4 linked regions of the Lytechinus pictus genome follow. The main gene of each other region encodes a partner of the protein of the gene in region 4 in a complex. Links are inferred from orthologs where the notes say so. Each region holds a gene or a part of one and is shown on either strand. Other genes may lie near its edges.

Region 1 (7,125 bases), on a different chromosome or scaffold from region 4:
TTTATCTAATTCACCGTATAATGCCCACTCCTTGCCAATATTTTCTAAGCTGACAAATATGACAAATAAATTGAATGTTGCCATATTTATGTTTATGTTGTCTAAAGGCATTTTACCTACTCTGATAGCATCTAAATTTGTCCTTAATTGTAATGTACATAAGTATACTACACGCGATGCTGTAGAATACCATATTCCTTAAGTCAGAACTAATTTTTCAAAGAATACTGTATTTTATAGCGGTCCTCATCTTTGGAGTACTATTCCAAACCATCTTAAGAATCAACTTTCTGTTTTACAGTAAACGTTCCTTTCAATTATTTTTATTAAACTTGTACTCAGTAACTTGATATTATACATGAATGTTTACGACTTTGACTTTTTCACTTTTTCATTTTTGTCCCCCCCCCCCCTTTCTTACTATATCTTACTTACTATCATGTGGAATAAGTGACCAAAGTGATTCCTTTTGTAAGCAAATCTTTATCATCTTTACCGTCTGTACATTATCATTATAATATACCAAGCATGTTATCTGAAAAAGTTATGACCACACATGTGTGTTCTAAAATGAATTTCAAAAATATTAACTAGGCAAATATAAGGCAGGTTACATGTACCCTGAAGAAAATGGCAATTATCAAAAACATGACAAGCAATCTTGTGGGGCGTTGCAAGAAACTTGTGATTGATTGCAAGTCTATTGTTGGTCCCTAAATCAATCATATGTCTTGTAATTAATTGTAGATTTGTGATTGATTGCTAAACTGCTTCTTGAAACAATTTGCTACAGTTGAAATTGATCTATTAATTTTAAAATTGCAACAGCTATTGATTGCAACATAATATTTGCAATTGATTGAAAATATTTTCTTGCAACACCCTGTTGGACGTTTACAGAGGCAGAACTTATCATAAATCAAGCCAACAGAAAAAAAATGTGACATCACAGCTGTATTCATCCCACAACTGGTTGTCAACAGCTCAAAATAGCCCAAGCTTTTTCAGATCACGTTTATAGTGCTTGCCTCTAACTTACTGATACCTACCTACTATAGAACAGGGATTTTTTTCACTTTCTGTAACAAAATACTGTGACATCACTAATTCTAACATTTTTATACTACAGCACAGCACTATCTCGAAGAAGAAACAGGAAAATACAAAAATGAAATAGAGATTCAACTACCATTTCATGTTGTGTATTGCAGGTAATCACCTTGTTTCCTTGATACTGTCCAAGCAGTAAAACAGAGATCTCATGAATAAGACTGGCAAGATAAAACAAATCTCACAGATTTGACTGCATATACGAAATCCTTTACTACTGGAGTTTCTTTGTAAACATGACATGGGTATATTGGGAGGAGACGCCGGAAGTGCATTCTTAGAAAAGTGACGGACAGCTGAAAATAAGAAGTCCACTGCCTCACATTGGTGGGTTATGGGTTTCTTATGTTCCTTCAACATGGAAGGCGTGGATCCATGAGAATCATTCTTCGCTGAATCTGCACCCCGCTTGCTATCGTCTAAACAGACGTACTGGGCGTTTAGTATATGATAATCATTGAACAGTACGAAGAGAATGCGAATGTTCCCTGGACCGCCTACATGTTGCCAAGGTGATCGGACGATCCTACAAGCCGGAATCTCATTGTGATGTTTTTGTGTCATTTCAACGATGCAGCCGATGTGACGACTCTTCTCGTCTGTATCTGGTCTCGGGTCTCTGCTCACGTTCTCATATATACCGATGACAGGGAGATTAATCTCCAGTTCTGGAGCATGATCATCTTCAGATGGATGGACGATGGCTAAAACACACATGCACCGTTTGTCCGGGTGTGTGGTTCCAAGGCACAACCCACTCCTTGCATTCAACAAGCTTTCAGGGAAGAAGATTTTGAGTACAGCAGTCCCCTCCATACTTCTTCCAGTCCGAGATGCATCCAAACAATTCAAATTTCCATTTAAATCCCACAGTGCAGGCTCTGTAGTAAAAAACAAAACAATCAAAGAAAATAATAATGTTATTAGATTAATCTTTTTATACTTATACAACATAAAACAGTCTTTTCCAATATTTGGTCATTTGCTAAAGCATGTGGTTTCACTTTTTATTCCTCAAGTGACCGATTGTCACAGGAAATGAAGTTTACTTGTATGTACGTAAGATTCAAATTAAATTAAAGAAACATTGAAAACAATTTTACATTTGGGCAAATAGCATGCAGAAGCAGATTCTAAATCTAGATCTAGACCTCTATATGAAATTGCTTTAAAATCATTACTCTCTTAAAATTAGCTGAAGAAAGGAGTCGGAGTGTCAGAAATGTTCCTTCCTGATTTCGGTTGTACTTGTAGGCCTAAACTAAAGCTACATCATCATCATCTACTAGTCTACGGTCTCTGTTATGTTAGTCGTTCCGCTGAACTCCGTTGGCTCCACTCACCAAATAGAGAGACCGAAATTCTAGCTCGATCGGTATATACAGGGACTCAATGGCCATACATGTATTAAGTTCGGATAAAACAGGGAAGTGAAGTTGCACGACAGCCGAAGTAAGTCACTGTTTTTTCCCCTTTTTTTGTTTATTTTTGGTGCAATTCAGGCCAAAACGGAATATTATTATCTTTACTTTGGTCATGTTGGTACAGTTCATTTTAAATATTTTTATGAAATAAAGACAAAAATCGATGAGCCCCGTCGGGAGGATTTTGCATTGTTAACCCCCTAATGGTGGCTGCACGATAGCGAGCCGTCTGATCGAGGAGAAATTAAAAAAAATATAAAAATGTTTAAAAACTCCTCGAAACATTAAACAGACAGCTGCCAGCTGTCTAGAAACACCATGTTGTTGTTGTTGTGGGTCGTTTCCACACCCAAATGATCTCCTCGGTATACTCTCAGTGTGTCTGTCACAAGGTTGATGAGCTGCTAGTGCTTGTTGGTAGTATTTGCTTAGAAACACCATTGCTTTTTTTTTAGCCCAGTCCCACTCATAAACATTTGTGTTAGTGAACATTAGAAGAGAAGGGAGTAACATTTTCTGGGGATCTAAATAAATTTCTGACATGCCCATTTGTATACCATTTTCATCACAAAGTCTGCCACAAATTCATTAGTAATTTAATTATTACTTACAATCAAAGATAAATACTTGGTCGAATTTCAGACTGTTGAACATGGTCCTGAACTTAGTCTTAGTTACAGCGTCTCGAATGACACAAAATTTTCACGCAATATTGAGCACTCGTCATTCATCCCTATAGTCTATTCATCCCCATTCGCATTCGAGTCTCTATGTGGCAACTAACATGTCACAGAAAAAAATCTATATTCAGATTCTCTGCACCTTTGATCTGAACTCTGAGAACACAAACAAATAAAAATAATAATAATACCCCCTTTTAAAACTTAATGGAAATAAGATGAGGTTATATAAAGGCTAATAAAATTTCCCCAATAAGTGGTACTCTTTATTGTGTGAAAATGATATACTGTATATTGGGGAAAATAATTTCGTAATATATTGCTGGCCAGCGAAGATTGCCCATTTCACCATTATGTAAGTGTGTTTAAAATAAAGCCGTTTAATTGTTCCATAATTAACTATTGGTCATACGAATCAAACTCATATTTTATTCTTAAAGCTAATAGGGCCTATTCTATGAAAACAATATAGTACTCTTGCCAGCTCTTAATTGTTAGATCACACCGGCTTATAGATGTTAGTATCCCCTAAGCCCTCTTATCAAGAAGAAAAAAAAATCATGTTATTATTCATGCTTTTAGCTTTATTTTTGTTACACACATACACTGCATCTATAGGTTCGATCCATATAATGTAATTTATGTAGTTTTGTAATATGTTTCATTTGTTCACTTTGTCTTATTACGTATTATATTTATAACGATCTCTATGATTCTATTTGTCATTTACATCATCAATATACCTGGCAAAATGAAAATGAAATATTCTAGAGAATATTAATTTAAAATGCTACCTAATTTGGAATCTTATCGATAGGTAATTCTCTTACTCTGGTTATGTTTATTTTTCTCCTTTTTGACATCTTGTTCTTTTGCTATTCAGAAGTGTACGTCGTTTTTGTTAAATACACCCCCTAAACTTGTAATTCTATTTCTTCTATTGTTCCACCAGAATAGGGCCTATATTTAAAAAAATACATTCATGCGAATTGCATATACTATTTTAGAGCATATACTGGGTCAGGGATCGGAATAATTAGCTAAGGCGGAAAAGAGATCCCCTTCCTATCGCCCTCTTCCTGCTCTTCCCCTTCCTTATTATTTTTTCGTTCTTTCTTTCTTCCTTCCTTCTTTTTCTTTCTTTCTTTTTTCTTTCTTTCTTTCTTTCTTTCTTTCTTTCTTTCTTTCTTTCTTTCTTTCTTTCTTTCTTTCTTTCTTTCTTTCTTTCTTTCTTTCTTTCTTTCTTTCTTTCTCTCTCTCTCTTTTTTTCTTTCTTTATTCATTTTCTTTCTTTCTTCCTTCTTTCCTTCCTTCCTCAATTTCTTCCTTCCTTCCTTTCTTCCTTCCTTCCTTCATTTCTTCCTTCCTTCCCACCTTCCTTCCTTCCTTCTCTCTTTCGTCTCTTCTCAGTTAAAAAAAGAAGAGGCTTTCACATTGGCTAATGATTTCCACTTTACATTTATTTTCAATTTAATTACATAACAATATTATCACATTGTGCATGATAAATAAAGGCATAAATATATAATTGAATAGCAACAGTCTTGATTTGGTGCTGGGTAAGATAAGAGCCCGGGAATAATTTTGCTCTTGCCAGAATGCTGAAGTTTTCGATAACATACGATGGTCTTGATATTGTCTGTTTGATCCCCCCTCCCTTTCCCTCGTAAGTGGCTTTTTGCAGGACAGTTTCAGAAACAGCATAGTAATTTATGCCACCATTTTTTCCTCCTCTTAGTATGATGTTCCTCGACCAAGTCATTTTCTCTATCCCTGTCCATATCTTCCTCCACAAGTTGAAGTTCGCAATGCTTCTTATCTTCACAGTGATTCTGCCCCTTAGGATTGTCCCCTTCCAGCATCTCAACCTCCTCGGTTTGACCCCGCTTGACTTCCTCTTTCACCTGTACCTCTCCCAGCTTTCTCACTTCACATTGTTCCTCTACGGCAGATGAGTCGTTCATATCATCCTCCTCCTCCTCCTCCTCCTCCTTCTCTTCCTCTTCATCCGCCTCCTCCTCCTCCTGTTGCTCTTGCTGCTGATGCTGCTCCTCCTTCTCCTCCTCTCTTTTATTCTGTTGTTGCTCCTCCTCCTCATCTTCCTCTCCCTTATCCTGCTGCTGTTGCTGCTCCTCCACCTCTTTCTTATCCTCCTCCTCCTCACCCTGTTGTTGCTGCTGCTGCTGCTGCTCCTTTATCTCCTCCTCCTCATCATCTTCTCCCTTATCCTCTTTCCCCTGCTGCTGCTGCAGCTGCTCCTCCTCTTCCTGTTGCTGCTGCTGCTCCTCCTCCTCCTTCCCCTCTCCCTTATCCTCCTCCTGCTGCTGCTTCTCCTTATCCTCCTTCTGCTGCTGCTGCTCCTCCTCTCCTTTATCCTCCTCTTGCTGCTGCTTCTCCTTATCCTCCTTCTGCTGCTGCTGCTTCTCCTTATCCTCCTTCTGCTGCTGCTGCTCCTCCTCTCCCTTATCCCCCTTCTGCTGCTGCTCCTCCTCTCCCTCCTCCTCCTTCTGCTGCTCCTCCTCCTCCTCTCCCTTATCCTCCTTCTGCTGCTGCTGCTTCTCCTCTCCCCTATCCTCCTCCTCCTGCTGCTTCTCCTTATCCTCCTTCTGCTGCTTCTCCTCCTCCTCCTCACCTCCCTTATCCTCCTTCTGCTGCTGCTTCTCCTTATCCTCCTCCTGCTGCTGCTCCTCCTCCGCTCCCTTATCCTCCTGCTGCTGCTCCTCCTCTCCCTTATCCTCCTGCTGCTCCTCCTCCTCCTCCTCCTCTCCCTTATCCCCCTTCTGCTGCTGCTCCTCCTCTCCCTCCTCCTCCTTCAGCTGCTCCTCCTCCTCCTCTCCCTTATCCTCCTTCTGCTGCTGCTGCTCCTCCTCATCTCCCTTATCCTCCTCCTGCTGCTGCTTATCCTTATCCTCCTTCTGCTGCTTCTCCTCCTCCTCACCTCCCTTATCCTCCTTCTGTTGCTGCTTCTCCTTATCCTCCTTTTGCTGCTGCTGCTCCTCCTCCTCTCTCTTATCCTGCTGCTGTTGCTGCTCCTCCACCTCTTTCTTATCCTCCTCCTCCTCCTCACCCTGTTGCTGCTGCTGCTGCTCCTTTATCTCCTCCTCATCATCATCTTCTCCCTTATCCTCTTTCCCCTGCTGCTGCTGCTGCAGCTGCTCCTCCTCTTCCTGTTGTTGCTGCTGCTGCTGCTCCTCCTCCTCCTTCCCCTCTCCCTTATCCTCCTCCTGCTGCTGTTTCTCCTTATCCTCTCCCTTATCCTCCTTCTGCTGCTGCTGCTGCTCCTCCTCTCCCTTATCCTCCTCTTGCTGCTGCTTCTCCTTATCCTCCTTCTGCTGCTCCTCCTCCCCCTTATCCTCCTGCTGCTGCTCCTCCTCCTCCTCTCCCTTATCCTGCTGCTGTTGATGCTCCTCCACCTCTTTCTTATCCTCTGCCTCCTCCCCCTGTTGCTGTTGCTGCTGCTCCTTTATCTCCTCCTCCACATCATCTTCTCCCTTATCCTCTTTCCCCTGCTGCTGCTGCAGCTGCTCCTCCTCTTCCAGTTGCTGCTGCTGCAGCTCCTCCTCCTTCCCCTCTCCCTTATCCTCCTCCTGCTGCTGCTTCTCCTTATCCTCTCCCTTATCCTCCTTCTGCTGCTGCTGCTCCTCCTCTCCCTTATCCTCCTGCTGCTGCTGCTCCTCCTCTCCCTTATCCCCCTCTTGCTGCTGCTTCTCCTTATCCTCTCCCTTATCCTCCTTCTGCTGCTGCTGCTCCTCCTCTCCCTTATCCTCCTGCTGCTGCTGCTCCTCCTCCTCTCCCTTATCCTCCGCCTGCTGCTGCTTCTCCTTATCCTCCTCCTGCTGCTGCTCCTCCTCCGCTCCCTTATCCTCCTGCTGCTGCTCCTCCTCTCCCTTATCCTCCTGCTGCTCCTCCTC
Region 2 (7,393 bases), on a different chromosome or scaffold from region 4:
AGCATTAAGTAGCTTTTATCCAGCCGGCCGCGCCGGCCGGCTGGCGTGAGCTTTGCATGCTTCAAGCAGCTGTGAGTCAGCAGTCTATTCAGACTCAGGGAGCTGCAATACGAAATGTTGCAGCTAAGAAATCTTCCACAGAACTGTGAAAATCCAAGTCAAAGTCACATTTTACACCAATGAAAAGCCCTTCTACAGACCTTTTTGCCAAAATCTGGTGTATCCTGATTATTTTCAAGCATTTAAAAGAGGAATCATGACCTCTCTTTTGACTCAAAAAGACCGATTTCCAAATGAAAATAATGCACATAAAAACACATAGGTGAGTACATCACAGTCCCACGTGTTCATTTGAATTGTATGTATGTTGTTACTTGGTTTCTTTCGAAGCTGTGCCTTTTCCGGTCTTTTCTAGCCAAAAATAAACAGACAGTTACTTTCTTTCTTGTTTATAAATGACTTCTTAAACAACTCTTGAGAAAGTAAATACTTTGGGAAGGCATTTCATTAATATGAAATGTGAATTTTTCCAACATTTTGGCAAATATAGGGAAGGAATTTTCTCGCACTTTTTTTTTGCCGTTTTATTATTTTCTTTCATTTTTTTGACAGTGGTTAAAAAACCATTTAAACCCATTTATTAATTTTCAATGTTTTTCTTTATATTTTTCGGGCCACCAAACTTTAATATCGGGCCACCAAAAAAAATTATTTGAAGGTTTTGGTGGCCCGAACGGGCCACCACCAAAAAAAGTTAATGTGGAGCCTTGTCTACTGTAACCGTGGGAAATCCTAGCCTCAGAGAGGAATGATCCCCAGGCCCAGGCTTCATGCGGGAGTAAGCCTACGTATAGTAGATGAAGTTTTACTCCCCAGAAGCCTCCAGGCTAGCTCTTCTCAAAGATATATTTTCTCTGAAAAGATTCTTCGTCTCGAACACACATTTTTAATTGCTGAAAAATCTACCAATCCGTCGTTATTTCTTTGGAATGTCTCCTTTTGTAAAACATGATGTTCTTGCGGGATGCAGCAAGAAATAATTATTGCAGACGGACAAATATAGCATGCAACAATAAGTTACAATAGCCCCCCACCTCTTGTAAATTTTATTGTATTTTCCAAGGAAGTTAAGAGAACACAAAGATAAGAGAATTTTCAGAATACCTTGTAGTTGTAACTCGATATTTTATCTTGCGCACAGACATAATATGCGCCGATTATATATACACGCATCAATATATCTCTGACATCATACGCGCTCAGTGAAAGTTACAAGAAAAGTTAAGACAATTTTCGGAAAACGGATTTTAATTTTTATTGTAACTCTGTCTCTAGTCTAAAAAAGATAGGCTACAACTAGTATAGTGAGTGATTGTATTACCGACCGGCCTTGTATTACCGAACGCGCGCATCATACGCATCAGAAAAAAATTCATACATTCAAAATTTCGCAACATTCTTCCAAAGAGAACTTGAATAGAAAGATGATGAAAAATGGTCAAAAACTCATTTTCAAAGTCTTATTTCTCTTAATATTCTAAAAACAATAAAATTTGGTCAAAATAACTCATCAGTGATTTTGTTGTTTTCTCAACTTTTCCCATAGAAAACACGCGTTCGGTAATACGATACCTTTTTCAAGTGACCAAAATATTTCACATGCGAAGAGGGGTCCGATTGGAAGCAAAAATCGTAAAAAGGAAAAACGATTTCGGCAAAAATTTTACATATTTATATTTTGTAGGTAATTGTGTATTTATGGTGAAAGTTTGGTGAATTTTACGAGAATAATGTGCTTGATATGATTGAATTCATGAAAAGTGTTCGGTAATACGATCCACTACCATACAAGTTAACTTATACAAGAATATTATTTCTCTTACTTAGACTTAAGACAATTTTCAGAATACGGCCCGGGAAATGTGATCGAGAGAATTGCTATCAGCTATGACATTTGCAAACAATTACTGGGAGGAAAATTTGCTGGAAGTCTGCAAGTGCGAAACTGCATTTGCGCCGGTCGAGCTAAGCCTAAGGCTAAGTTAGGCCTCACACAGTCAGTGCAATTTTGCCAGCCCTGGACCCGCGCAGCCGCTAGCCGCGTGCTAACCCAGAGAGCTCCAGCCCGCGTAGCGGGCTGGAGCCCAGACGCGCAGTGTACAAACGGGCATTCAGGTGAGAGTACCGTGAAGTTTGGTCAATATCATTTACATAATACATAATTTAAACAGAAATTAAGCACTTACCACGATTGTATGGATGATAGTCTAACGAGTGGCAGTTTCCTGACATCGAGGCACAGACTGGAACCTCAAAAAACGATCAGTTCTGTCGCGGTGGCTCTCCTTCTTTCAAAATTCATAGCAAAATGGCCGTTCGAGAGGGTGTAGGGCGCATGCGCGAATTTGACAAAGTCTATATGCGCTAGTGCTATACTAGCCTCGGTCTCGATCGGCCATTTTGTGTTGAATTCTGAAAGAGGAGAGCTACCGCGACAGAACTGATCGTTTTTTGAGGTTCCAGTCTGTGCCTCGATGTCAGGAAACTGCCACTCGTTAGACTATCATCCATACAATCGTGGTAAGTGCTTAATTTCTGTTTAAATTATGTATTATGTAAATGATATTGACCAAACTTCACGGTACTCTCACCTGAATGCCCGTTTGTACACTGCGCGTCTGGGCTCCAGCCCGCTACGCGGGCTGGAGCTCTCTGGGTTAGCCGCGTGCCAACTTGGCCTAATCCCTGGGGGCCTCAGCAAAGCTGCCCTGCTCGAGCGTGGGCCTGAATTGCAATTGCGCGATCACAGTTGAGTAGGGTCTGCGCGGTGGTAGTTATTGGAATTTTTAATCTATTCTAATCTAAACCTACATTACATCCAAATTGTGAAACATTTCAACTCTCTATACCTACTTTCACAGTACATACTTACCGCAGACAGTGATTTACAACGTGAAAAATAGTCCAGCTCTTTCGGTCGGCATACTCGGCCTCCCGTCCATATGCTATGGTCTCCTCAGCGAGAAAACATTCAGGGGGAAAAAAATCGAAATAAAATGCGACCTTTCTTGACAAAAATATAAATAAAATATAACCCAGAAGGAAAAACCAGTAAGACCAGTAAGAATTTTTACTGGTTTCCAGTATAATTTTACTGGTTTCCAGTATATTTTTACTGGGCCAGTTGATTTTTAACTGGACCAGTAAAAATCAACTGGAGACCAGTTCCAACAATTGCATTCCAGTTGAAACAAAGTAGTAATACCAGTTAAATTGTTTTTCATCAAACTGGTGTTACTGGTCCAATAAATGGTTTCCAGTAGATTTTTACTGGTTTTCAGTATATGTTTACTGGACCAGTTGATTTTTAACTGGACCAGTAAGAATCAACTGGAGACCAGTTCAAACAATTGCATTCCAGTTGAAGCAAAGTAGTAATACCAGTTTAATTGTTTTTCATCAAACTGGTGTTACTGGTCCAATAAATGACTTTATTTCAAGTTAGATCATTTGACGAATTATGGAAAATGAATCTTGCAATTCAGAGAAAGTTATTATCGTTATCATTTATCATTGTTATCATCATTCTTATAATTATCATTATCATTATTATTATTATTATGATCATTGTTATCATTCTTAATACTGTTATCATTGTTATTGATATTGTAATTATTATTAATATTATCATACTTATCAAGTATTAACATTATCATTAGAATAATTATTTCCTTTTGGCTTTAATTATGATTAAGATCAAAGCAAGATATATTCCCGTCATATAGTCAACTGGTCTAAAGTAATGCATTGTTTGAAATTGAACTGGTCAAGACCAGTAATACCAGTAATTCTGATGATGCTGATCACATGGTTTACCTCATTTGCATATTTCCTATTTTTAACAGAAAAATCAGGATTTAGAATGGAATATCCTTGCAATAGCACTCTTTGTTGTTTAAAAACTTTCTTAAAAAGTGTGTGAACTAATTCACAATGAAAATGTGTAATTTCATATATCAGCAGAAAGATTAATTTACTAACCATCTTTTCCATCACATTTCACTGACCAGGGTATATAACAAACCAAATGCATGTAATAAATTGATCCAGTAAGACCAGTACGAAGACCAGTTCGACCAGTTCGAGGACCAGTCAGACCAGTAGAAAATACCAATAAAGACCAGCTTGAATTGGATACCAGTATGAAGACCAGTAACAATCACCAGAAACAAGACCAGTATAAACTTCCAGTAATTCAAGACCAGTTTAATTTTTAACTGGACCAGTATGACCAGTATGACCAGTTAGACCAGTAAACCGATGTTCCAATTTCCAGAGTTACCAGTTAAAATTCTACTGGTCTAACTGGTCCAGTGGAACTGGTTTTTCCTTCTGGGAAGGTGGTGAGTACGGGTGAGTATCTCCGGAAAATTTGGTTGGTATGTTGTTACAAAAATATATCATTAGGCCTTGAAGCTCCCAATTATTTCTTCTACATTCAATCAAGTAGGCTACTAGTACTAGCTTGTGTGGGATATTGTTATTCAATTCTGACAAGTTAAATATTAATAGATGTGCAAGCTGCCCCCCCCCCCCCCTAGTGGAGTTCACCGGGAAAATAAAACAAACGGGAAAAAGACAAAAAAGGGGAGAAATAAGGAAAGGGCAAGGAAGTGAAAATAAAGAGGAACAGGGGGAAAGGAAAGGGAAAGGGGAAAAGGAAAGGGGAAAAGGAAATTAGGGAAAGGGAAAATAAAACTAAGGAAAAAAAATAAAAAGGGAAAACGGAAAGAAAACGAGGAAAAGAAGAAAAGAAGAACATGTGTGAAAGATAAAAAGCGGGAAATGGAGGTAGAATGGAATGAGCCAAAATCTAAATTGGAAAATAAAGAAAAGGGACAAGATAAAACTACCGGGATGCCGAGGATTGACGATATAATTATCATCATAAACTTGCTAAATCTCCAAAGCTACCGGGGGCTCTGTCCAAGATCCCGTGCAATGGGGGCTCTTCATCTGTAACCTGTAACCTTTATAAGGGCTCTATACAGCATTATATACGGGCAATACGGCCCCTGTATGAACCCTTCCTGCATTGAACTTTGCGTTTAAGCACTGGCGTACCGGGGGTTCCACAGCCAATGGGAAATAAAAGAAAATAAAGGAGGCAGCGAAATGAGACGAATGAAAAAAAATATACGACATGATATTTGCTATGATGTAAAAATCTATCACATAATTAGAATTTCATTTCAAATAAAAGCCATTTTTCTTTCTGGCTCGCTTCGCTCGCTGGCGACTGTACAAATTTTCCCACATTTGCTATGGTGTGTCCCCTCAAAATATTTACGCAACTGCATTGAATTTATGTGTTGTGTGAAAGCTATATAGATAAACACGCAATATGATTAAAATTAGTGGCCATCTGTAAGGTTTAAAATGGCTTTAATATCAAGAGGTTCCGGGTCTCCGCCCCGGATCCCACCCACGTAGTTGCTCTGTTGTATGGATGAGTTTGGACCATGGCCCCCAAAAGTTCTACAACCAAAACAAACAGCAAAAAGGGAGGAAAGACAGAAAAGCAAAGGAAAAGTGTATTATATTTTTCTGAATATCACGTCAAAATCTAGTGTTAGATTCTCATGAAAAGGTGATTTTTTTTTTATCTCGCTCGCTCGGTACTTTAATATATTAAGCTACTATAATTGCCACACGCGCCATACTGGGCCCCCTTTGAGCATATAGAGCTTCGCCCTGATGCGCACAATCATAACAAAATTCCTATTCACCGTGGCGTACAAAAAAGGGAGAAGGGAGAAATATGATATTATCTTTTTTAACATTATGTAAAATATCTATCACAAAATTTGATTTTTGTTATAAAAATGTCAAAATTTCGCTCGCTCGCATTTTTATTTTTTGCCCGATACACCATATCACCCCCTCAAAATTTTTGCCTCATGCCTGTTCCATGATATGACCGGGAAATTTTTGGCTCTTGCCCCCCCCCCCCCCCCCCCCCCCCCACCTGGCCACCAACCCCTGTTACGCCCCTGACTGTTTAGTGTCAAAAATATAAAGCTGAATTGTCGATCGTCTTTAAGAAATTTCCCGCTTTCGTTAGCGCAGTTTGACCCAGCATCATCACAAGAAAGGTCAATTCTGGCACCTGCTTGTGTAGGCTTCCACTGCGAGAGCAAATTTAATGGCGTTTCAAAACTCAACTGTGTTCAATATCGCATTCGTATTGCCGAAGGTCATAAAATCTGAGCTGATCGCGTTTACAAACACAAAGTCCTTTTCAACGTTTAAATTTTCCACTGAATCGTGATTTGAAAGACGTTTACTTTTATAAACGGGGATGGAGGAAACATCGAACACACCCTTTGTTTTCTCACTATATCCGCGTTTTGTAATTACTTTTTCAATCATGATTCATTCTGCCGTTTGAATTTGGAAACCGACATATTGTACACACCCTTACTATCTTACGGTGTCACGTCTTCAAACAAAAACCCATTTTAAACAGATCAGAGCAATTATTTCTTTATAAATGAAAACAATATTCCTATGCATGGTGATCGATAAAAAGATAATTCTAAGATCGTTATAAATTATGATATCATAAGCTAAAACATGCATGTCAGCAGTCTCACGATCCCATCTTCAATTATGGAAAATGTGCTGTTTAAATATATGATTTGTATTTTTTGTGTTCAATTCACAAGTTCAGGACTGGGATAATTATATATACATACATATCAGGGGCCGCGGAAGCCGGGGGGGGGGGGGCTTCAGCCCCCCTCCTTTTTTTCCAAAATCGTGTACAAAAACGTAAAAATTACCATATGATTGTGATTGTTTGCATGGTAAGCCCCCACTTTGATTTTATATATATATATATATATATATATATATATATTTTTTTTTTTTTTTTATCTTAGTGTAATCCTTCTGTTCTGTACCCTTTGTTACACATTATTTACTTTGTTGTTATTACGATTTTATTTGTATGGTTTTGTTCTATTTTGTTTGTTTCAATGCATTATAGGCCTGATGAAGGCCCCACTGGCCGAAAGCTCGCAATAAAAGAGATACTTGGAAGCTACGTCTAGCGTTAATGCTTGATTTATTTACGCCTATATATATATATATATATATATATATATATATATATATATATATATATATATATATAAATGTGTAAAGTTATACATGTACAACAGCTTTGGCAACTCTTTTATTTAAATATTGTAAAGAAATGGATGAAGAGAACAATGGTAGGCGTAGCTTAAATCAAGGTTCCCCAGAGCTATCTACCCTTTGGAAAAATTGGTGATGCCGAAAAAATGTCTCTGCCGGGAATCGAACCCGGGCCCCCAGCTTTGAACGC
Region 3 (7,740 bases), on a different chromosome or scaffold from region 4:
CAACTACAGGCGCGGACCGGCTACAGTCAGACTATTATGGGACGCAAATTTGTCCGAAAAGCAAAAAAAACACACAAAAAACACAAAAGGTCCTTGTTCCATTGTACAGGGTGCACAATGAAGGAATTGTATGGGGTCCACCATTGTATTTTCAAATTTTACGGGGTGCGCCCGCAGCTGCTGCCACCCCCCCTCCTGGATCTGTGCCTGAAAAACTGTAATACTTCATGTCTCTTTTTATTTGTTATCTTGGAAATAAAACCTGAACTTGGGCAGTATTTTTCACTTGCAATTTGAAGAAAGTTACCACTTGACATACAATGTAAAGATAGGTGAGTCTGCCTAAGTCTTCTTGGGACCACAGACATAGTCCTGCATTGCTGTACAAATGCAAAACTATCAAAATGATTAATTGCACAGGTTACACAACACTTTATAAGGAGGGATTGTTATCATGGCACAAGAGTCAGTAACCCTTGGTAGGAGGGAAATCGCTGATGATGTTTAAGTGATATAACACTGTCCATCGATTCTCAAGTCAGCCTGGCTTTAAAAACACTCAAGTGATAAATAAGAAATCACTCACCATTGTTACAGCTTCATGGATAACAATGTCTTGAACTGCCCTGAAAGGAATAAACTGGGTGACTCTGCGTCCTGTGACATACTCCGAAGATATTTGCAACCCAAGGGAAGATATCAGAAGCAGTGTTTCTACAAATCAAGGTGGAAACAATACAGTACATCAAAATATTCAAAAGATAGTCAATTCAATGAGTGAGGATTACAAAATGAGATTATCAAGAACAAAGTGTACTTAAACACTCTAGAAAAATGATCTTAAAAAATAGGCCTAGAGTTTACAAATATGGAATTAAATTAAAATGTTATTTCTAATGAAGATTACAGAAATAAAAAAATTAAAAATACAGTAAAAATTGAGAATCGAAACCAAAAAAATATTCACAATGTATTATAATTGGTAATTTTATGTATGTTTCATTTTGTTTGATTTTAATCCATTCAGTCTGGTAAAATATATAGTTCTGTTCATTTCTGTATCACCTCAGTTCAGATTTCATGAGGTATTATTGGTACAATTTATCTGATTACCCTATGTTGTATGCAGGTTCTTCTCATGTCTCCCTCAGTCCTTTCCTATTAGGCCTACACACCAACACACATAACTTCTCCGAATTCTAATTTCAATCCATTTTATTTTGTCTTCTGAGTTCTTGCATTGTTTGCTGCTCTTTAGTTGTAGCTTTTATCACTCTATTTATGATTCACCAGTTTTATTACTTCTTAAGTTTTACTTTGTCATTCAGCTCCCCACATCAATGAACTGTTACTTTTAGAAAAAAATCATCACATGTAAGGTCAAGGACTTGTTAGTTTTACCTTTTGAAACTGAAGAATGAATGTACAGAAAGAACAGAACACTAATCATGATAGCGAGAACTGCATTCCAGAACTGTAAAAGAAAATTGGATTTAAAATAATCTTATTTGGGTAAAAGATTTAATAAATCATAACATTCATGAAAATCATTCCATGGAAATTATTCATTCTATACAGTAATCATATCTATTTAACTAAACATGATCTTCTCATCAAGCTTTCCAAATTTGACTCACAATATAGGCTAAAGGTATTATTAGTCTCAAACACTGTCATTTCAGTAAAGTTTCTATTTGCGACAAAATTTCGGTGTTTCATAATCAAAATGAAAGCTTCAACAAAAGCGATAGAGGCTGATGAGTGACAATGCCAAGAGCGACCCGGATCCCGAAACCAGGAAATTTGGAAAGTGAACAAGACCATGGAAGTAGAAAGACAAGACCCTACATTTCGGCTGACCATATTTTGCACCTAACTTCATCATTTTCATTTTACTTTCCATTTTTCATTTCATTTATGAAATGTTTCATACGACGTACACATATTACATTGTAGAATCTATTTCACATTCAATTAATCACAACTTTTACCAACAAAGTTAATACATCACTTTAATTTAGGGGGAGCTGGAGGGGACATAGCCATAGGCTGTTACTAAATTAGTGATGTAGAAAGAGCTAGATAATTTAGATTATCATCATGCAAATCACATTCAAATGCATGGTGATTCTTTTTAAACAAATTATGACTATATTTCATCTTTTTATTTAACCATTAACAGACATGACAGAGCCGCCTCGATTTACTTTCATTTTTGCGTTCATAAAAATTAAAATATAAACATTTTATTCAACAATAAACAAGCCCTGTCTTAATATACTCACCAAAACCGTGAGTCCTACTGCTGACATAAAGAAGAAAATATGCAATAGACCCCCTATATGACAACTTGGTTTTGACTGTTTTGCAGTCACAGATATTTCACAGACAAGCTGGTCATCTTTCCATTTCACACCTCCTTCATGTCCTTGGCCTTTCCTCAACAAGCCCTGGCCTAATAATTGCACATCCTCCTTCACATTTTGGGCATGGTAGAAATCATTCTTCAAATCTGTATCCATCATTATGTTAAAGGGCCGTCATCACCGCAAATTGACGTCGGATGAAACACAATTTGATCTAACTTAGAATTTAGATCTAGACAAATTTGAAGCCAGCACTAACTTCGTATGTGAATGTATATGCAAGTCGTCTGTCTTATTTTATACAAATAATGCATGCAGCCGAGTGCGTTAGTGGAAATGCAGAGCACGCGAGGTTTCTTTAGATAGGAGTCGCACTGTGCACGAGCCGCTTGCGGCGAGTGCCCAGTGTGCTCCATCTGAAGAAACCGAGCTTTCTCTGCATTTACTTTTACGCACGACAGAGCAAGTGCATTATTTGTTTTATAAAATAGCAACACAGAAACAATTTTTTTAAAAGTTACAGTACAGTTTTGTTGGACTTCTACCGCACTGGTTTGCTCGAGCGTGCAATGTCAATTTTCGTTGCACACCTTTTGCACTACCGTGCAGTGCACAAAAAAAGTTGGATGTCATGTGACGCGTATTGACCAATCGCGATGCTTGAAATAATACAGCTATTTTATAAACACAGATATCAGTACGTGGGATGGGACTGAACAAAATACTTCCGCTATGCTGCCCTCTGTAGTTGTTTACTTGCACCCCAGGCAACGGGAAACTCTTCGCGACCTACCGTACTCCAAAGTCCAAGTCCAACACGGTTTTTTTAAAACAGGATCCAGAGAAATTTGGCCAAAATGTCTGCCAGCACGGAAATGCCAGGAGTGAATGCTGCACTCCAGCGTCTTCAAGAATTAGGTTATTATTTAATTTGGATTACATTTGGGTTTGATGGGTTTTTATTTATTGCCCGGCCCGGCCCCTGCGGTTATACTATAGGCTATAGCCTACGCCGTATCGTACCATCGAATGGAACCCGGTACCATACCGGGAATTCACGTACACACACCCCGAAGCTCTGGCGGCCGGGCCCGGTCATGCCTAGACAGCTGGCAGCCGTCTGTTTCGAGGAGTTTTTTTTATTTACATTTAATTTTTTTTTTTAATTTCTCCTCGTACACAGACGGCTCGCTATCGTGCAGCCACCATTAGGGGGTTAACAATGCAATGCAAAATCCCCCCGACGGGGCTCATCGATTTTTTTCTTTATTTCATAAAAATATAGGGCCTAGCCCTAGGGCTAGGCCTAGAATAAGATAAGAACTGTAGGCCTAGCCCTAGGCCTAACTTAACTAGACCTACCAAAATAAAGATGATGATTGATTAATTATTCCGTTTTGGCCTGAAATGCACAAAAACGGGGGAAAAAACATTGACTTTGGCTGTCGTGCAACTTCACTTTCCTGTTTTATCCGAACTTAATAGTAATACATAAACATATGGCCATTGAGTCCCCTGTACAGATCGAGCTAGAACTTCGTCTTCGGTCTCTGTATTTTGGTGAGTGGAGCCAACGGAGTTCAGCGGAACAACCAACATAACAGAGACCGAAGCTTTTGACTGTTCTAGGTCATGCCTAACCCAGGGAGCTCCGGGCCAGAGCTCCCTCAGGCCTGTTGCATGAAAGGGTCTTTCGTAGAACCGTTCTACGTAAGAACTAAGAGTAAGAACGAGATATCGCTCAACTGTTTCACAAAGCCGATTTGGGCGATACGAAGAATGGTCCTTGACCTTAGAAAGACACCTCCAGACATGTCCTACGTAGGCATGATCGACTTTGCACACCGCCCGCCACCGTCAGCATTGAGAGAAAATGCGTTTACGGCAAGCCACACTGACATATCACATTTAAACATTTTTGGGGGTCATTCGATTGCACTCTGATGCATTTTATCTGGGATGGCGCCAAGTTATTTTTATGGGGGCTGTCATTAATTTCATGGCAAAACGGATGTCATTTTAACTTCTCCGGGGTAATTTAGGCCCATAAGGGGCCTCATATATAATATTTAAAAAAAATGTGTTTTCTTTTATTTTCTCACATTTTCTCCCTCTTTTCCCCACACCTTTTCCATTTTTTATTCAACCAAACTTGAAATATCGAAATGGCCGGCAATCTCTCTGACCCCTCATGCTTTATCATAAGATAAACAACATGAAAACAAATTTTTTTAAAAGAAATCATGTATGGTAAAGAAAACATGTTTATATAACGTTCAGGAAAAAACGCGATACAATACTAAGATCAGTAAGATGTTACTAAACATGCTAAATCATTTATCTATTTTCATTTTATTTTCATAATCATTATTATTTCTCACCTCTTTTTTGTACTTCCCTTTCTTTTCTGGTATGACAGGTTCCCCCAAGTCTGTGCAGTCCCCCTTTGTCTGCACATACGCATACCTGCGCGATTCTATTTCTAGTAAAAGAAGATACGCAACAAACACAAGCTATACATATGCAAATGCAATACATAGACAGACATTCATTAAAAAATACGACTCAAAATAGTGGAAAAATAATGAACTTTGGGCATTTGATTTCAATGGTAATTTCATGTGACGGCCTCAAAATGCAGCTGTTGTCATCAAAATCCCTGGATCCCATGCAAAGTGAATGGGTGCGCAGACATGGGGCACCATTTTTTTGTTGAATCTGAAAATGATTGACTGAGGTTTTTCCCGAGAAAATCATATATTTCTTTCAAATTTTTATGAGATTTTTGGCACACTTCCTCATAATAATATAAGGAACGTTATCAACCTAAAGATTTTGTGAAATAAAAAGAAGTTCATGTTAAATCTTAACTCAACTCTTAGGTGTGCAGACTTGGGGACAACCATCATACTCCCCCACCTCCACCAGGAGGCTCCTAGAGAGAAAAAATCACTAACGTGTGCTTATTCTCCACAGAGCCAGGGATTGTGCCCCATTCATGTGCGTATACTGCGGTCAACGTTGCAATTTTCGCCCCGAAGATTTCTACCTTCCCTGTAAAAGATCTAGCCCTAAATTATGCATGGGATACATGTAGAACTTCATTTCCGACATTCAAAGAATGTTGATTTCATTTTTAAGCAAATATTCATTAAAAAAAACCACCAAGAATTATATTTTGAGAAGACGGGGGAAAAACTTGCCAATGTTTACGTAGCCATCTGAAGACAAGACTGGGGATCGGGGAGCACATTATTTACAAGTGATAAAAAGTACATGGATGACGATTTTAATATAAAAACACCTTTCTCTAATTTGTGGTAAATTTTCCAAAGATTATTGGCCAAGAGCAAGAAGCTTAAATACTAATGGCAATGCGAGGTTTGAGTTAAACTTGTAGCTGCCATATGGGAATGGTGACAGAGATTTGCAAGATGGCAGTTTATGTGATGATTGGACCCAGAGTGTTGATGGAAGACAGCCATGATAACTGACATGTATTTGATCTCTAGGTAGATGTATCTTTTTAATTTATTGTGTTATGCTTTTTGCTTACTTTGATAGCTGAACGGATGAAGAGTGAAGAATTTGGCTTCAGAGATAATGATATTACAATGATTGACGGAGTATCAGAAGCTATCAAAGAATTGGTAAGAATTTCATATCAACCTTTGCCAAACCCCCACAATTTTCATAATAAATCTATCATTTGGTGAGGTTTACCTTACGTTTTCTAGGTCAATTTAATTTAATTCTAGGGTTTTGTTGTTCCTGGAGTTTGTTCTTTTCATCATCATTGTAACCTCCATTGTCATACAATTCTTACCACCTTTGTTATCTGATCATTGCCACCATTGTCATCTGATCATCATCATCGTCGTCATCATCATCATATTCATGATTAGTAAGTAATCACCTATATCCAGGGTTGGGCTCAATTACTTTCTTCAATTACAATTGCAATTTCGTAATTGAAGATATGCTAAATTTACAATTACAATTCAATTACTTTCTATAAGTCATAAATCAGATCAATTCATATTTTGTATGTAGCGCCACCCATTTTGTGCACTTCTTTATAGCAATAGCATCTCCTCTTTCCTCCCTATCATGGGAAAGGATACAGTTTCATGCAAGAGAGCACTATATAGCTAAGGGAAAAGAGAAATAAGCAATCCAGAGTAAATTGAATAATAAATTAAGTTATAATGTAATTGAATGTAATTAAAAGTAATTGACAGTAATTTGAGTCAATTACAATTTTTCAATTACAATTACGTTCTCCTAAAAAATTTCAATTACAAATTACTCTACAAATTAAATTGCTCCAAAAATGTAATTAATTACGTAATTCATCAATTACTTTGTAATTGAGCCAAACCCTGCCTATATCACCATTAGGTCACAATGATCATCTAATTGTTGTTCTGCAAACTCATTATATTGCCAGAATAAAGTACCACAAGGAACTAACATTATCCTGTATCTAACCTGCTGTTTACAATCGTTTCAATATTAATGTTAGCGATTGATTGTACCCTTGATTTTTATTTATAGATTGTACATTGTTGTCAATGCACACAATCATAAAGACATTGTTCTGCAATGATTGTTGAGCTTTGTGTTACAGGCCCATAATGGCCATTCTCCCTTACCATTTTATGATCTCCAATTTAGGGTTTAGCAACAAATAAACTATGATTCATGATTCATAGAGTTCTTGTTTTCAAATCAATCATCAAACCCTTGTTTCAATAAAAGATATTAATATACAGCCCAACAAAGTGTAATAGCCATTTAAAATCTAGTATTTGTGTTTGAACATGGGTGATATGAAAAAAATGTGTTTAAATCAAACAGCATTAACTTCCCTTAGGGGTTCAATCATTATGGTATTCTTTGTAGCTAGGTTGATGGCATATTTACATTATTGCAATATGTATTACAAGTGGTTTCTCCACCATCTCACTGTCACCCCCTCATCTCTGCCACTTCTCTCTCTCTCTCTGCTGTCTCTGCCTCTCTGCTTTTGTCCCTTCATCTCTCTGTTTCTCTGTACATCTCTTCTCTCAGTTCCTGTATCTCCCCCTTTATATACCTCCTCTCTCTCTCTCTCCCTCTATTTGTCTCTTTGGCTGTTTCTCTTTCACCCTCTCTCTTCTCTCTTCTCTTTCTCTCTCTCTGTCTCTTATCCTTTTCTAACTCTCACTTCCTCCATTCCCCATACTCTGTGCTCTCTTGATTATTATACCTGTCCCCCTCTTATTTTAATTGATTACAATCAATCATCATGATCCCTGAATGACATTGGCAGAAAATTCATTTATTTTAACCATTCGGGAGCAATATCAAAGGTCCCAATATAAAAAGATGG
Region 4 (7,557 bases):
TTAGGCTAAGGCTAGACAGCTGGCAGCCGTCTGTTTCGAGGAGTTTTTTAACTTTTTTTTTTTTTTTAATTTCTCCTCGTACATTTGGTGAGTGAAGCCAACGGAGTTCAGCTGAACAACCAACATAACAGAGACCGAAGCTTTTGGTCTAGGCTAAGGCCTACCTTCAGAAAAAAAAGTAGATCTAACCCTAAAGAGGTGTTGCATCTACATGTAGATCGAGAGTTCTAAACTAGGTCTAACTGTTAAGAAGAAAAGAAGCTACATTGCCATGGCCGGACTTTACACCAAACTTTGCATTTGGGACTACACTACGTTCATATTCAACATATGGGACTGTGATGAAAATAGGAAACTTACCAGACGTTATGCTTCATTTTTCTTCTTGCTTGAAATGCCTCCCACACAAAATATTTGTAAAAAAAACTACAGGGGTAACATCGCTAAAAATTCGCCTGGGTACTATTAGTAGGTTCTATAGACCACAGTTGATTGAATTTATACAGATTAAAAGTCTATAACTCCGACCTATTAACTAGTCGTCGATCGACGCCAACGCACACAGACAGACACAGCGGATATCACAGCCACACAACCGATCGAGTTCGAGTCTACCATATGTTGTAAATTCCATGTAAAAGCACTTCAGAAAAATGGCTAGTGTTGAAGAACTTCGAGCTAAAGTACAACAGTTAGAAGATGAGTTACAGGCAGAGAAGAATAAAAATATTTCTCTGACAGGAAGGCAAAAAATAGAGACGATGAGCTCGGAAGTAGTCGACAGTAATCCATACAGGTAAACGAATTGTCCCACATATGAGGTTTTGTGTAGGCTAAGGCTCTAGAAATTAAAGCCTCTGCACTGCACTGGCAGGCTGCCGCTCTGTTCGTCATGCCCTTTTTACTAATTCCCCAAATTGTTTGTTTCTTATTCAAGTCTACGATTACATTATATAAATGTATTAATAACTGTGTTTGCAATTTCGAGCTAACGTTAGACTTAGACCCTGGGTAGACAGCTGGCAGCCGTCTGTTTCGAGGAGTTTTTTAACATTAAATTTTTTTTTTTAATTTCTCCTCGTACACAGACGGCTCGCTATCGTGCAGCCACCATTAGGGGGTTAACAATGCAAAATCCCCCCCACGGGGCTCATCAATTTTTGTCTTTCATAAAAATATATCAAAAGAAATAGGCTAGACCAAAATTAGACCAAAAGCTTCGGTCTCTGTTATGTTGGTTGTTCAGCTGAACTCCGTTGGCTTCACTCACCAAATACAGAGACCGAAGTTCTAGCGCGATCTGTACAGGGGACTCAATGGCCATATGTTTATGTACTTAAGATCGGATAAAACAGGGAAGTGAATTTGCACGACAGCTGAGGTAAGTCACTGTTTTTGTTCCTTTTAACTTGATTTTTCTCTGTTTTTTGGCAATTAATGCCAAGAGGGAATATTAATTTGCATTTTGGTCACGTTAATTTTCAAAAATTTTATTCATTAAAGACAAAAATTGAAGAGCCCCGACGGGGGGATTTTGCATTGCAAGTCCCCTAATGGTGGCTGCACGCTAGCTAGCCGTCTGTGTACAAGGAGAAAAAAAAAAAAAAAATGTTAAAAAACTCCTCGAAACAGACGGCTGCCAGCTGTCTAGACCAAAATAAGCATTCCGTTTTGGCCTGAAATGCACCAAAATGGGAAAAAATAAACTTAAAAGGGGGAAAAAAACAATGACTTACTTTGGCTGTCGCGCAACTCCGACTTCCCTGGTTTACCGAACTTAATACATAAACATATGGCCATTGAGTCCCTGTACAGATCGAGTTAGAACTTCGGTCTCTGTATTTGGTGAGTGGAGCCAACGGAGTTCAGAAGAACAATCCAACCCAAATGAAAACTTGTTTTTAGAGGGAAAAGAGAAATCAGACGAGCTTATTGGTGAAAGTTTTAACAATATCGGACAAACAATAGGAAAGTTATAATTTTTTAAAAGTTGTAAATATTGGTCATCACTGACACTATACCTATAGAGACTTCAAATTGGCCGCATATAAATGATGTCATAGTGATGTAAGGCAAGGACTACTCTTCCATGTACTCCAATACATAAAATGTCATTATTTTCAAAAGTTTTACTTCAAACTGTAATTTTCTTTCTTGAGGACATAAAACAATATGCAACCTGGGTCATATTTAGATTACTGCCCCAGGGGAAAGGGTACCAAAGAGAAAACCACAAATCCCTGATAATAAAGTACATGGCCTATAAGAAAGTTGTCCTTCCCCTTGTCGTAATTTTCTTACTCGGTCGCCAATTTGAAATCTACATAGTATTGGGGATCTTGATTTTAAAACGGCCATAATTTTCTTATTGCATATGCGATTTCTTTCAATTTTTCACCATTCTTTTTTATATATTTTTCTTCTCTCCAACACAAAATTTTATGACCAAGGCTGGATTCCCCTTTAACAGAGACTGAAGGGCTATTCCACGGTTACTCACGTTACATTTGGAGACACCTTGACAGGCTTGACTCATACTTGGAGCTGTAACTCCATTATTGATAGTAAGCTTGTAACCGATTTTGCAATCGGCAACCGATTCCATTCGATTTCACAACAATCGGCGATCACTTGCCGATCTTCGATCATGCCCCTTGAAGGAAAAAATCGGATATAAAAAATCGGCATACCTGTAGATCTAGTTACAGTGCGGTCAGAACATATTTCAAGATTGTTCTTGCAGAGGTGCTAGCTATTTAGAGCTTTTTAACAATCGAATAGTTCGAACAATCGAGATTCCTAGAATGTCAGAAATGACTCATAAAAGGTTGACCTACTTATGATGACCTACCGGTAGCTGCGCTGACTGGTATGGCGGGAGTGTAACTTGGAATGAATGTATTGTATAATATACAAACAATGAACATGTACTTGTACTGTGTTTGTCATTTATCCCGCCCATGAGTGCACACAATGGCCAATAGCAATGGAGTTTGAGAGCTGTATGTGACTGCATGGGTGCATGAATGTGTTGTATGCATTATGTATGCTAGTGCTTATGCTGATAAATCCCGCCCATAAGTGAATACAATGGACCAATAGCAAGGGAGTTTGAAAGCTGAGTGTGACTGCATGAATGTGTTGTACGCATTATGTATGCTAGTGCTTACGCTGATAAATCCCGCCCATGAGTGAATACAATGGACGAATGACAAGGGAGTTTGAGAGCTATGTGTGACCGCGTGGGTGTAGGAATGTATTGTGTGTATTACGTATGCTAGTGCTTGCGCTAATTTTTGTCATAATCCCGCCCATGAGTGCACACAATGGCCAATAGCAATGGAGTTTGAGAGCTGTATGTGACTGCATGGGTGCATGAATGTGTTGTATGCATTATGTATGCTAGTGCTTATGCTGATAAATCCCGCCCATAAGTGAATACAATGGACCAATAGCAAGGGAGTTTGAGAGCTGTGTGTGACTGCATGAATGTGTTGTACGCATTATGTATGCTAGTGCTTACGCTGATAAATCCCGCCCATGAGTGAATACAATGGACGAATGACAAGGGAGTTTGAGAGCTATGTGTGACCGCGTGGGTGCAGGAATGTATTGTGTGTATTACGTATGCTAGTGCTTGCGCTAATTTTTGTCATAATCCCGCCCATGAGTTCACACAATGGACGAATAGCAAGGGAGTTTGAGAAATGTATATGAATGCTGGGTGCATGGATGTGTTGTATATGCTAGTCAATGCCCTGCTTAAATCCCGCCCATAAGTGCACACACGGCCTAGGTACGAATAATAGCAAGGGAGTTTGAGAGCAGTGTGTATGGATGTGTTGCGTGTTGTATGTATAATGTAAGCCATACTTGCAGTGATATACATGTATTGTCATTAATCCAGCCAGTGAGCCAACTCAAAGAATAGCACTGTTAGCAGTGTCAATCAAACCGGCTTATTATAATCACTCGGGTCGCGTTCGCGTTCGAAATCACTCGGGTCGCGTTCGAAATCACTCGGGTTTTGGATTTTTGGCGATTTTTTTTAATTCGATACGATTTTTTTTTCTAACGGTGTCTTCAATTGGACAAACACGATGGGAAAATAAAATGAAATTGAAATTCTAGTTTCGTTTTAAGCCGGCAAGTGCCTTAAATAAAATGCACTCATACTGCTTAACATAACAAACAAGCAAATCAGCCATGTGGTTCAACTATTCTACAATACATCCAGACTTCTACTGTTTTTATACGAGGACTCCGAGTCGGAACTTGCCATATCTGCCACATCGATATTACATCGTCATTCCCATGTGCGGACATGCATACCTGCATGCAATGGCCCCAAGGCGGGACCCGGCCGGCCATGGTCGGACACGGCGTGCATCAGTAGCCAAAAGCTTCGGTCTCTGTAATGTTCATTGTTCCGCTGAACTCCGCTAGCTCCACTCACCAATACAGAGACCGAAGTTCTAGCTCGATCTGTACAGGGACTCAATGGCCATATGTTTATGAATTAAGTTCCAATAAAACTTGGAAGTGACGTTGTGTGACAGCCGAAGCAATTAGTTACTGTTTTTTCCCCTTTTAAGTTTATTTTCCCTTTTATGTGCATTTTAGGACAAAACTGGCGACTTCCATTCCAATGCATTCGTCTTTGTGACTTTGTCAGGAAGATGCGCGCGACCGCGAACAAAATATTTTTTTTTAAAGTCGCCAACATGCGCGATCGTTTGGAACATGTTTTAAAGGGGTTTTGAGGTGTTACTGCTTTGAAATAAACCGAGTGATTTTATTAGAAAGATAAAGACGCATCTTCCGAGCAAAGTCGCAAAGGAAAATAAAATGAAAATAATTCTCATAGATCACAGGTTAATGAACGATCGGCGGGACATCATTTATAAGTATTTTTAGGTGCTAGCGATTTAGAATTATTGGAATGATCTCTTCAGTTGATCTCATACAATGCATTATCTTAAAGGCGCAAGTGCAATTAAAATGTAGTAGAAGTCGCAAGCACGCGCGATGATTCGGAACATGTTATTAAAATGCTCTGGGGAGCTAGCGTTTTCAAATCAATTTATTACTATCTTCAGAAATTAACTTAATTTTGATAACCAAGAAGAAATATAAAAGAAGCGGGGTCCGCTATCACCACGAGGTTGAAGAGAAGTGTCTATCATAAAGGAGGTAAGAGAGTAGTGCAGTGATGTCCGTCGGTAATACGACCTTTAAAAGTTCACGGCGGCGTCCGCTATCACCACGAGGTTGAAGAGAAGATATCTATCCTGGTAGACATCGTCAGAGATAATACCGCGTCTTTCTCCCTGATTAATGCGACCTCTAAATAGCTAGCACCTCAAAAAAATCTTGAAATATGTTCTGAACGATCACGCACTGTAACTAGATCTACGCCGATATTTTATATCCGATTTTTCCTTCAAGGGGCATGATCGAAGATTGGCAGGTGATCGCGCTGATTGTGGTAAAATCGGGAGCCGATTTTAAAATCGGTTAATTACAACAGGACATACAATTACGATTTTAAAATTGATTTAAAATCGATTTCCAAAATCAATTTTAAAATCGATCTAAGATCAGTTTTAGATCAGTTTTAGTATTAGCTTTTAAAAGCCCATTCACATTTTTACTAATGCTGACGAAAAGTTAGTTTGGTTGTCAGAGCATTATTTGTCCTGCGTCTAAATAACTATGTCCGATCGAGGGACCGTTTTAATTTCGGAAAGGTAGGAGAGACAGAGAGAGAGAGAAAGACTGATCCCCGTTCAGCTCAACGTATACGTTTGGCACGCGAGCACAAAAAAGATCAATTAAGCACATCACCTAATGCAATGTTTCGAGAATAAGGGAATTTTTTAGGTCTCCAGTTACTTAAAACATGATATGGCCATTTTATCTATAAAATAAGACAAATTTTATGAGAAATGGACAATAATTAAGAGCAGAATTTTAAAACGCCTATCGGAAAGATCGTCCCAAAGCTCATTACGTATTAGACAGCTGGCAGCCGTCTGTTTCGAGTTTTATTTTATTTTTATTTCTCCTCGTACATAGACGGCTCGCTATGGTGCAACCATCATTAGGGGTTAACAATGCAAAATCCACCAGACGGCGCTCATCGATTTTTGTCTTTATTTCATAAAAATATATGAAAAGAACTGTATCAAATAAATATTATTATTCCGTTTTGTCCTAAAATGCACAAAAAAGGGAAAATAAACTTAAAAGGGGAAAAAACAGTAACTAATTGCTTCGGCTGTCAAGCAACTTCACGTCCCCGTTTTATCGGAACTTAATGCATAAACATATGGCCATTGAGTCCCTGTACAGATCGAGCTAGAACTTCGGTCTCTGTATTGGTGAGTGGAGCTAACGGAGTTCAGCGGAACAACGAACATTACAGAGACCGAAGCTTTTGGTCTAATTACGTATACATGCATTAAACCACGGATGGCTGGCTATGCATACCGCTGAATAAAATACTTTCGGACGAGCTGACTGGCACTGTAACGTGGGATCTAACTCGGCTCGACTCACGTTACCTTGCTCCATGCTACCGATGCACGCCGTGTCCGACCGTGGCCGGCCGGGTCCCGCCTTGGGGCCATTGCATGCAGGCATGCATGTCCGCACATGGGAATGACGATGTAATATCGATGTGGCAGATATGGCAAGTTCCGACTCGTAGTCCTCGTAGAAAAACAGTAGTCTGGATGTATTCTAGGATAGTTGAGCCACATGGCTGATTTGCTTGTTTGTTATGTTAAGCAGTAGGCGAGTGCATTTTATTTAAGGCACTTGCCAGCTTAAAACGAAACTAGAATTTCAATTTCATTTTATTTTACCAGCGTTTTGTCCCATTGAAGACACCGTTAGAAAAAAAAATTGCATCGAAATAAAAAAAAATCGCCAAAAATCCAAAACCCGAGTGATTTCGGACGCGACCCGAGTGATTTCGAACGCGAACGCGACCCGAGTGATTATAATAAGCCATCAAACCCACCACGTGCACATGCCAAAAGGTAGTGTAAAGAATTTTGCGCTAGCCCGTTGAGTCTGGGCGGTTCCAGTTCTCGGCTATGCCACAAAACTATCTTGTATTGTGTGAATGCTTGCGCGCATTGCGTAATTCACTGATATTGTTGAGTGGGTGGGTATACAAAAAGATCGATACTGAGGCGTGACTTAACTTTTCCCAGAACTGATTCGGAGAAATGATGTACCAAGTAAGCTATTATAACAAAATGGGTGTACTTTGGAATGGTTATTGGGCGTGGCTGTAATCACATATTATAATGAGCGAACTTAGCTGAGCTCAGCTTCACATAAAAATACTTATAAAAGATGTCCCGCCGATCGTTCATTGACCTGTGATCTACGAGAATTATTTTCCTTTGCGACTGCTCGGAAGATGCGTCATTCGTTTATCTTTCTAATAAAAATCACTCATTTTATTGTTAAGCAGTTAAACCTCAAAACCCTTTAAAAGCATGTTCCAAACGATCGCGCATGTCGACTAATTCCATTCCTAAA

Evidence for each region.
Region 1: phosphatidylinositol N-acetylglucosaminyltransferase subunit A-like (region 4) and phosphatidylinositol N-acetylglucosaminyltransferase subunit Q-like share a complex: the UniProt entries of both Homo sapiens proteins name them as parts of the glycosylphosphatidylinositol-N-acetylglucosaminyltransferase (GPI-GnT) complex. The link is inferred for Lytechinus pictus from reciprocal best matches to the Homo sapiens genes PIGA and PIGQ.
Region 2: phosphatidylinositol N-acetylglucosaminyltransferase subunit A-like (region 4) and phosphatidylinositol N-acetylglucosaminyltransferase subunit C-like share a complex: the UniProt entries of both Homo sapiens proteins name them as parts of the glycosylphosphatidylinositol-N-acetylglucosaminyltransferase (GPI-GnT) complex. The link is inferred for Lytechinus pictus from reciprocal best matches to the Homo sapiens genes PIGA and PIGC.
Region 3: phosphatidylinositol N-acetylglucosaminyltransferase subunit A-like (region 4) and phosphatidylinositol N-acetylglucosaminyltransferase subunit H-like share a complex: the UniProt entries of both Homo sapiens proteins name them as parts of the glycosylphosphatidylinositol-N-acetylglucosaminyltransferase (GPI-GnT) complex. The link is inferred for Lytechinus pictus from reciprocal best matches to the Homo sapiens genes PIGA and PIGH.

The regions. Positions count from the first base shown.
Region 1 is NC_087254.1:10,567,714-10,574,838, reverse strand, and holds the start of phosphatidylinositol N-acetylglucosaminyltransferase subunit Q-like, read right to left. Parts: upstream 3,015-7,125; 5' UTR 2,976-3,014; coding exon 2,852-2,975; intron 1,992-2,851; coding exon 1,220-1,991; intron 1-1,219. Other genes in the region: trichohyalin-like, read right to left, coding at 4,906-7,125. UniProt on the Homo sapiens protein: Part of the glycosylphosphatidylinositol-N-acetylglucosaminyltransferase (GPI-GnT) complex that catalyzes the transfer of N-acetylglucosamine from UDP-N-acetylglucosamine to phosphatidylinositol and participates in the first step of GPI biosynthesis.
Region 2 is NC_087259.1:10,794,233-10,801,625, reverse strand, and holds the start of phosphatidylinositol N-acetylglucosaminyltransferase subunit C-like, read right to left. Parts: upstream 3,017-7,393; 5' UTR 2,933-3,016; intron 1-2,932. UniProt on the Homo sapiens protein: Part of the glycosylphosphatidylinositol-N-acetylglucosaminyltransferase (GPI-GnT) complex that catalyzes the transfer of N-acetylglucosamine from UDP-N-acetylglucosamine to phosphatidylinositol and participates in the first step of GPI biosynthesis.
Region 3 is NC_087251.1:13,833,584-13,841,323, reverse strand, and holds the start of phosphatidylinositol N-acetylglucosaminyltransferase subunit H-like, read right to left. Parts: upstream 3,005-7,740; 5' UTR 2,893-3,004; exon of another isoform or gene 2,707-2,892; intron 2,654-2,706; 5' UTR 2,526-2,653; coding exon 2,286-2,525; intron 1,475-2,285; coding exon 1,402-1,474; intron 715-1,401; coding exon 587-714; intron 1-586. Other genes in the region: centromere-associated protein E-like, read left to right, coding at 3,224-3,284, 5,931-6,016. UniProt on the Homo sapiens protein: Part of the glycosylphosphatidylinositol-N-acetylglucosaminyltransferase (GPI-GnT) complex that catalyzes the transfer of N-acetylglucosamine from UDP-N-acetylglucosamine to phosphatidylinositol and participates in the first step of GPI biosynthesis.
Region 4 is NC_087245.1:9,799,908-9,807,464, forward strand, and holds the start of phosphatidylinositol N-acetylglucosaminyltransferase subunit A-like, read right to left. Parts: upstream 3,002-7,557; 5' UTR 2,950-3,001; coding exon 2,852-2,949; exon of another isoform or gene 2,501-2,851; intron 1,895-2,500; exon of another isoform or gene 1,737-1,894; intron 1,001-1,736; exon of another isoform or gene 378-1,000; coding exon of another isoform or gene 361-377; intron 1-360. UniProt on the Homo sapiens protein: Catalytic subunit of the glycosylphosphatidylinositol-N-acetylglucosaminyltransferase (GPI-GnT) complex that catalyzes the transfer of N-acetylglucosamine from UDP-N-acetylglucosamine to phosphatidylinositol and participates in the first step of GPI biosynthesis.